2 linked regions of the Coturnix japonica genome follow. The protein of the gene in region 1 purifies or fractionates together with the protein of each later gene. This does not show direct contact. Links are inferred from orthologs where the notes say so. Each region holds a gene or a part of one and is shown on either strand. Other genes may lie near its edges.

Region 1 (4,384 bases):
TAATAACACACAAACCTTTAGTGTTGGTAGTAGACTCCATTCTAATTGCTTTCCTATTAGAATAAATAGAACAGTTGAAACTGGGACTTTTGGGAGGTAATAATGATTACATTTCATGTTAGCAAACAATGTAATGTACAGCACAGCTAACTCTTATTTTTAATATTTGGGAAGTAGCTTTGAATGTCTTAGGCTGAAGAAATGCCAAATGTACCACTTCTTTATTTTTATTTCTGGAGAAAAGGGATTAAGAGACATCGAAGAAAAGAACCTGTATTTATATGAATAAGAGCTGTGAGGCAACTTGGTGTTACTTAAAGCAGATTCAGATGTCTGTAAACACAAGTTAGCAAACCTTATCTGAAGCTTTTAGTGAGCTTTCTGTACAGTCAGTATCTCTGTGAAAATCCTCGTGTGGTAAAGCTGTAAATTTGCAGCATGAATCTTCCAGTGTATGTTTTTTTTCCACTTATGTGTTAGCTTCAAGGGGAGAGACTGCACAAGCACAGTAGCTCACAGTGTGGTACTTAGCATGGACTTCACTTTGCAGCGTGAGTAGGAACCAAGATACTGGGAATTAATTGGAGGGACTTCCATTCCAGGGAAGCATTGAACTTCTACACTGTTGAAAGTTGGGTTCTCTTAGCCTTACACCTGAGAGTTCCTTACACCTGGGTTCTCTTACACCTTCCAATGTAAAAAGTCAATCTACTTTTAAAGAGCAGCTAATAACTTCAACACTGTTATTTCATATGAAGTGAAACTGCTTGCATCCAGCTATAAATTTAAGTGCTTGACACTCATGTGACTCGTTAAGACATTGGAATTTAATTGGTAGTAAACTTTGAAGTTACTTCAAGCAAGAAAAGCCTTCTCTGTACAGTTCCTTAATTTCATATACAATATCAAGCAAAATAGTGTTACGTAGGGAAGGGCATTTCTGCTGCTCAGAAGAGCACTGTGTTGTGCTCCAAGCAGAACTTTTTATAGATAACGTCACAGAAAATATACTTTTTCTATTCACACATCTAACTGTTGCCACTGAGATAAATATCCTTAATGACTGTAAGTCCATTGTTTAATTTTCTCCTAAGTGCCATGATATTAAGTTATTTTTTATCGTGGAGCCTAATAGCAGCTTTTGTAAGTATTCAGAAGGGATGTGGCGTGTAAACAGTTGTGTAGGCTTTGAATTTTGAAGGTGTATTTGTGTGGAGCTGACCCTTTGTATGCCAGATTCTTAGGGGTGCTCTGCTCGTTCATATCGTCTCTGCTACTTTCTTGTTTCGTATGGAATATGGTCTTGAACATTGTTGTGTAATCATTCTCTTTATTTGTGCACAATTTTTACCTTAAATAAAACATTTATATTAGAATGCCGTGTATTCATCCGAAAAGAAACAAAGCCGACTCCTACAAAGCACTACTGGGATTTGTTTGGGACCTTCAGACGGACCGTTAGGCATCCAGGGAGGGAGTGCAACAACAACCTCCACCAGAAAACATTGAAAGGCAATTGCAGCATGTTGGGTATCATTCAGTTGGAGCTCCTGTGCTGTCACTGCAGCTGTAGAGCAGTTCGCATCCATCGCATTTACTTTGCACAGCTCCATTTGTTTCTTTCATACTCTCTCTCAGGTCTCAACTGAGGGCAGGGGCACTTACCTCATCCCCCATTGCAGATGCAGTATTTTAATCTATCTATATTTGAAGATCTGTGTATTTGTATTTTAAAAGCCGTTTCCTCTTGCAGCCTGGCTTGCTATTAACAGGATGTATCAGCAGTCCTAGACGAGCGCTACAGATGGTTGCATATCTTAAATGCTTGACCTCCCCCCACGCACGCTTCTTGTTTCTGTTCAATTCGGTGGCCAACTGCTCTCTGCTCAGTCTGAGCAATTGTTTGTGTTAAAGATGCTCTATAAAAGAAGTTAGGACCATCTATATGTCCTTGGAAAATGCTAAACATACATCCTGACTTCAGCAGTGACATAGTAAGCAAGAAACGTATCTGAGTTACATTTTAAGACAGCCCTAAATGTTCATTTTGTAGGTTTCCAAGTGATGTGACTGTTTGGAACAGAAATAAAAGCAGGATCCTTCTGCTGTTGCAGTTTGTTACACCTTACAAGGATCCACAACTGAAGGGCTCAGCTGCGGTTCTGCTGCTACGAGTGATGCAGGCTGCGTCTGGCGAAAGGATCCAGAAAGCAGTAGGGGAAATGTAAGTAAGGGAAAATGCACTTCCTATAGCAGTAATAGCTGTTATGATAAATGCTCCCTAAGGAAGGGCTGAGTCAATCTGTAGTGATTTACAATAAAAACAGAGCGACCAAATGAGGATGGAAGAGGCCAAATAGTGGGGTATTAAAGGGAAGAAAATTAATTTCTCCAATGATTTTATTCTTCCCTGTGATTAAATGCTGGTTTCAGTTTTGGGGAAGCATTTATCTTCCCTTTGGCCTACACGGGGTGGAAGGGATTTATGCCTTCCCTTTTCTATTTCCTCAGGCCATGAGAAGTTGTGTCTTCTATATGCAATATATGAAATGCCTCCTTTAAGTAGGGCCAGAAAGCAGCCTTAATTCCAGGTAACTTGGAGGTTACAGAGTTAAGGTTTCCCTTCAATGCCCTTTTGTTCAATGGAGAAGCCCCATGTTTGCCGGAGGGTCCTGTAACATGGCAGCAGTAGAACCACCATCCCATTATAGCCGTGCTTTGCACTGAATATAAAGATTGAGGTCATGCTCTAGTTCAGATTTACGATTCCTTCATCTCTACCTCGATTCTTTAATAATAGAAAGGTCGAACGCTTTTCTCTAAGCTCTAAAAAATAAGTAGAACTGTTATTGTCTTTATGATCACAACGTTATGGTTAAAAGCTGAGGCACGGCTGTTTATACAGTTATTCTAAGCCCTATTTTCCTCTCTATACCGTCAGCGAGTTATTGTTTGAGCCATATGAAGCACCGGGGGTCGCTCAGGTGCCCCTGAACACCTGAGCACGATAAAATGCGAACACCAAAGGCACAGCCTGCTAACGGAGGCCCCGATGTGCCCTTTGAGTAGCTACGTGTGGTTATATCGCTCTGTATCGCATTTTACCGTCCTTTCTTGCATCTCATCGCCATTTATTGTGCTCAGCGGCGGGGGAAGGGCGGCCGCTCCCGCCGCTGCCCCAGACAGTGGGCGGAGCTGCGGCGCCGGCTGCTGAGGGCGGCGGGGGGTGCGCGCCGCCGCCGGGTTCGTGCCCGCGCGCCGCCGCCGTCTCCGCCGCCGTCTCCGTGTGTGTCCGCCGCCGCCGCCGCCGCCGCCGTCTCCGCAGTGAGGTCACGGGTGGGCGGTGCGAGAGCGGAGCCTGTTCCGCTCCCGGGGATCCGGAGCCTCCGCGGCACCGAGTGAGGAGAGACGGGGTGAGGGGGAGAGAGAGGGGAGACAGCGCCCGAGGGAGGGGATGGCGGCGGCAGGGGGAGGGGAGCGCCGGGCACGGGGGGGGGGAAGGGAGCGGCGGGGAGTGAGGGAACGAGGGAGAGACGGAGAGAAGGAGCCGGGAGGGGGTGGGAGGAGCGGGGGGAGCGCTGCCCGCAGCCGCACAGCCCCGAGGTGAGTCACGGAGCGGCGTCCCGCGCCCTTCCGGGAACGGCTGCGGGGGGGGCGGCGGGACGGGGCGGGCGGGGCTTCGCGTGGCGCTCCCCGGGGGCACATGCCCTGCACCCCATATACCCTGCGCCCCATATACCCTGCACCCCATATACCCTGCACCCCATATACCCTGCAAACCATACCCCCTGCTCCCCATACCCTGCGCCCCATATACCCGGCACCCCATATACCCTGCTCCCCATACCCTGCACCCCATATACCCTGCACCCCATATACCCTGCACCCCATACCCGGCACCCCATACCCTGCTCCAAATACCCTGCTCCCCATACCCTGCACCCCATACTCAGCTCCCCATACCCTGCTCCCCATACCCTGCTCCCCATACCCGGCTCCCCATACCCGGCACCCCATACCCTGCACCCCATACCCCCTGCTCCCCATACCCTGCTCCCTGTACCCTGCTCCCCATACCCTGCACCCCATACCCCCTGCTCCCCATACCCTGCTCCCTGTACCCTGCACGCCATACCCTGCTCCCCATACCCCAATCTCGTGGCTTGCTGTGACCCCGTTCGCTGTTCGCAGGCTGCGCGGACTGACAGCAGGAATCCAGCCTGCAGACTCGGGCTGAGGGTGGGAGAATTGAGACACGCCGCGCTGACATCTGTGCCAAAGGTGACTCCGTGGGGACGCCCGGCGCTCGGCTCGGGTTGGTCTGCGAGCTGCTGAAATCACGGAGTTGGCAGCGCAATAAAGCAGGCCCCAAAGATCGGCTCCA
Region 2 (4,447 bases), on another chromosome or scaffold:
AGGAGGAAGACTGCTCCTTTGCACATATTTAGTCTACTACATGCTGCTGTGACTGAGAAGATTGTGTGGAAGCAGCACTGCAACCACTGATGTAAGAATCAAAGCTCTTATTGAAGGATATGCTAGAGCTTCAATACAATGAGTTTAAGAAATCTGGGAACACTTCACAGTGCTTCTCCATGGACTCACAGTCACTTTCACCACACATTATTCCCTGTCTTGAGCTTGCTGGCTGATCCTTTTGTACCCAAACTGTTTGGATCTCTCTCTTTTGTTATTTTCCATAGAACAGATAATTCTGACACACTGCTAAGAATGAACTCAAAGCACAAACTATCTGCCCTGTCTCCAAGGCCCTGCCTTCCTGGCAATGCACTTGGTGCTTGTCTTCATCATCACGGTGATATCTGATAGTGTCCAGTCATTTAGAAATCCCAGGTGTCTTTCAACTTATCTGATATCGCTTTTTTTTTCCTTTTATCTCTTCGGGGATTTGCTCACAGCCTTTGGGAAGTCAACACACAGCGCAGCCAATCACCATTTCATCATGTTGTCTTTAGATCACAGGTTACTCCCTTTGTTCTTTCCAGCCCGACAGGTGAAACAGTGGCTGGGAAATAACCATGAGAACGTCATTCTGGAAGGTGTTGATCCCTGGGAGAACCCCCAGAGCCCTTCCTTGAGATGCTGATGCTCTTCTCACTGCAGGTTCATACACCAACGGGACTGCCATCCACCTGTACCACATTGATGTGCTGAGCAGCACTGCATTGACTTACCATCTAGCAACACCCAGCTTCAACACAAGGTAACAGAGGAGGCACAGAACCTGAGGGTGAAGGTATGTGGATGGATGGAAGAGCTTTCTAGGGCAGCTGAAGTTATAGATGACAATATAGACACCTTACCTGGCTCCTCCATAGCCACCATGCTTCTCAGGCAGCTTCAGGGCCCTGATGCCGTCTGCTTCTTTTGCTTTTTCCCCTCCTAAAGAAACGAGGCTTGTTTTACCTATTCCAACCCAAATGAACAGGGTTATTTTACCTATTCCAACCCAAATGAATAGGGATGCTATGAGGAGAAGGCATCTGCAAAGTGGCTAAAGGATGTTAGGGATCAACCATGGGGAAGGCTCTGAGGAGACTCTGGGGCTGAGGGGTACTGAGGGTCTCTGGGGGGGCTTTGGCTGGGGTCTAATGGGGTCCTGGAGGGGCTCTGAAGGGACGGGCCCTCACCCCCCATTACCCCCATCCAACTGAACGCCTCACCCCATTAACACCACAGACACAGCTGTACGCATGCGCACTACGCGACACACAAACTCTGCCCCTTCTCAGGCTCAACCGCCCCCAGCCGTCGCGCCGGTCGGAGAGTGACAGCTGGATTAGCCAATGAGAAGCGCTGCTTTTGGTGAGCCCGCCCACCCGGCTCCAGCGCTCCTCTCCTTTTTCTTTTTTTTTTCCCTAGCCGTCATCCCATTGGCTGCACAACCCGCCAATCATCTGCGTAGGATGCGCAAAGCCAATGTCATCTCTTCATTTTTTAATTGACAAGCGAATCAACCAATAGAAATCCTCCCCTCCCACCTCCGTTGGCAGTGACCAACGAGCACGGGGAAGGCGGGCTCACAGTGCGCAGCGCTGAGGAGGGAGGAGGAGGTGTCGGCGGAGCTCCGGGACGGGAGGTCGGTGTGGGACCCATAGATAGACTGGGCCGGCTCTGAGGGGCAGCGGGAGGCAAGGGGAAAGGCAGGAGGGCCGGGGGGGGTGAAGGGAGGTGGGGCGGGCCTGCTACCGGCTGGGTAGGCCATGGGGCCTCCTCACCCTTTGTTGTGGTGGGGACGCGGCCGAGCTCGGGGGGGGGGAGGAGAATGGGGGGATCCAATAGTGGGTCCGGGCGGTACCACACGAACCGGACCGGGGCCTCAATGCAGATAGGGGCTGTACACACAGATCCATTTAACGTCACACCCCCCATAGCTAATGCACTGCGCTGTGATGGAGCAGCTGGTCCTCGCTGTGTTGTTTGTGTGTTGTTTTCTTATTGGAGGGGCCTCAGTGCAGGATTTAACCATGGGGAGGTAAGGGAACAAAAGGTGGGGGAGAAGCTCTTGTGATATCCGACAGGGTTCAGTAGGATGCAGCTCAGTTTTGTGTCTTGTTGGTGGGACGTCGTAATCTTAAAGAAGCCATGTGTGTTCTGCCTTTAAATCCCTTCATGTTGAATGGGTGGTTTTAGGGAAAAGTTCTTTTTGCTGCATCCACTGCAGAAAAAAAAATAAAAAAATCTGAAAATTCTTCTTGTGGTCACGGATGAGCAACTTCCATCTGCATCCATAAGTTAGTAATGACACCGTATGAGGAGCCCACTAACAGCGGGTTGGTCTGTCTATAAGTGTTCCACTCGTAGCCTTGAGAGCTGCCGCTTTCAGGTTGATTCATGGCATCATGGAGTCTGTGGTCAGGCTGATCAGTCTTTTATCTGTCCTCCAGACTGGAAGAACCTCCTGTTGTTAAGTCGAAAGGTGTCTCTAACGGAACGCAGTTGCTGTTTAGACTCTAGGAAGTGTTATCACAGTGTGGGAGCTGTGGTTGCGTACATGAGTAGCTTTATTGTTTGTTCTGAGGGGTGGCTTTGAAACTTCAGTGTTCACAAGCTCCAGTGAATTACAGGGGAATGAGAATATCAATAAAGGCTTGAAGTTTACATTTCCTTCTCCCTGCCTGGCTCCATTTGCTTAGCACTGTCTTGGTGAAAGACAGCACTGGTTATCAGTGCCTCTAAAAGAGGAGTGGGGGAGGATTGCAGTAAGAGTGGCTCAAACTTCGGATCACTTTTAACAGTAACTTGGGGGTGTTTAATAACTGATCTGTAATTGCGTGGTTCAGGATTTGGCAGTCACCCTTAGAAACAAGGGGCATGAGCAAAATCACAGTGTATCAATTGTATCACAGTGTATCTCTAAATGAAAGGCCCTGCTGGGAGCTCCTCCACCTTCCTGCTCCACTTGATCTTTTAGAAGCGTTGAGCGCTGGTTGATGTAATTGAGTTTATTGGAGCTCAGAAATCTCCGCTGCGGAGCGCAGATTTAAGAGACAAAACTTGTCTCCATCTGTCTAATCTCTTTCCCACAAACGTTCTGGCAGAACAGGCTTGGTGTAGTGCGTTTTGGCTAACAAAGAATATGATTCTGGTGGAGACCGAAGAAAACTCCCAAATTTTCTTTCTGTAAGAGCAGCACACAGAGTTTTAATTATTATAAAAAGTATCCTAGATTTTTCAAATGTACTCAACTCTGCCTTAACGACTGTGCATGTAAATGCCTTGTAATTGAAAGCAGCCATTTATGGGCCTGACTTGCTAAGTGAGCTGTAAATTCTGCTTTTCAGATTGGATTTAATGACTTTTATCATAAAGCCACAAACTGGTTGTGAGCTGTGCCGAGAGGCAAACAATACCTAAGCTTACTTTGCCAAAATATTTGTAATTGTGGATTTGTTAAACTGAATTGCTGCAGGTCATGCGATGGGATTAGTTTTTTGTAATGGAATGGAGAGTGCAGGCAGCGTTGTGCTCAGTTACTCTCTGGGCTAGAAGAAATTGGAGATGGCAGAAAATCTTGCTAAACGTTGCTTTCAACTTCCTGCAGTGCTGCTGGATTACAGAAAGGAAGACTTCGTTCCAGATGACTTTTTGTTGTGATTAAGTGTGTTTGACAGCCAGAGTGCGAAGGGAGACCAAGAAGAGACTGTGAGAGAGCAGCTCCTGGTTTGCTGTCGGTGTAGTCTGGGGCTTGAGCTTGATTTAATTAAGCCGGAGGAAGATGAGCTTAATGGAAGACACTCTTCAAGCTCTGCTGGTGGTGGAGGAAGGAGAGTTTAACGAAGTTGGGAAACTGTAAAGTTATGCAGATAGGAGCTGAAACAGGCCCCCAAGTACCTGCTAATCAGTTCTGGGACTGCTCCTTTCAGATTTACCCAGGAGCATTTCCTTTCTAACCTAATGGAACTGACTCTTGCCTGTTACCCATGGAAAGTTTTAATCAAAACAAATTAGGTGAGAAGAGCTTAAACTGCTGTGGTTTGGAATGCTCATTTGGTGCTTTTGTGGCTCTGCTGAGGTCTTTCAGTATTAAGGAGCAATGCTCTTGAGTTCATAAATACTAAGTATGTGGGAAAAGCGTGCTGCTTTGCCGACAGGTGAATTGGCTGCCTGCAGCCATGGTACCTTTTTCTGGCTTCCAAGAGAATTGCTAAGATATATTGCTCTTATAATTATTCCAATCAGAGGTCAGTAAAATTAACATCTTTGCTTCTTTCTCATATTTCTGGTTGCATGCAATTTAGTGTCACAGGGTGATGTGTTGCTTTCAATCTGTTAATTTTCTTATAACAATAATTTTATTAATTTGTCTGTAGTTTTCAGTACTACTTAGTAACTGGAGAAA

What was found.
Region 2: the proteins of SKIL (region 1) and SMAD2 purify together in Homo sapiens (affinity purification with western blotting; 8 studies listed by BioGRID and IntAct, with this or other methods). This does not show direct contact. The link is inferred for Coturnix japonica from reciprocal best matches to the Homo sapiens genes SKIL and SMAD2.

Annotation. Positions count from the first base shown.
Region 1 is NC_029524.1:17,520,812-17,525,195, reverse strand, and holds the start of SKIL (ski-like protein), read left to right. Parts: upstream 1-1,483; 5' UTR 1,484-2,224; intron 2,225-3,241; exon of another isoform or gene 3,242-3,413; intron 3,414-4,191; 5' UTR 4,192-4,384. UniProt on the Homo sapiens protein: May have regulatory role in cell division or differentiation in response to extracellular signals.
Region 2 is NC_029547.1:1,312,683-1,317,129, forward strand, and holds the start of SMAD2 (mothers against decapentaplegic homolog 2), read left to right. Parts: upstream 1-1,601; 5' UTR 1,602-1,684; intron 1,685-4,447. UniProt on the Homo sapiens protein: Receptor-regulated SMAD (R-SMAD) that is an intracellular signal transducer and transcriptional modulator activated by TGF-beta (transforming growth factor) and activin type 1 receptor kinases.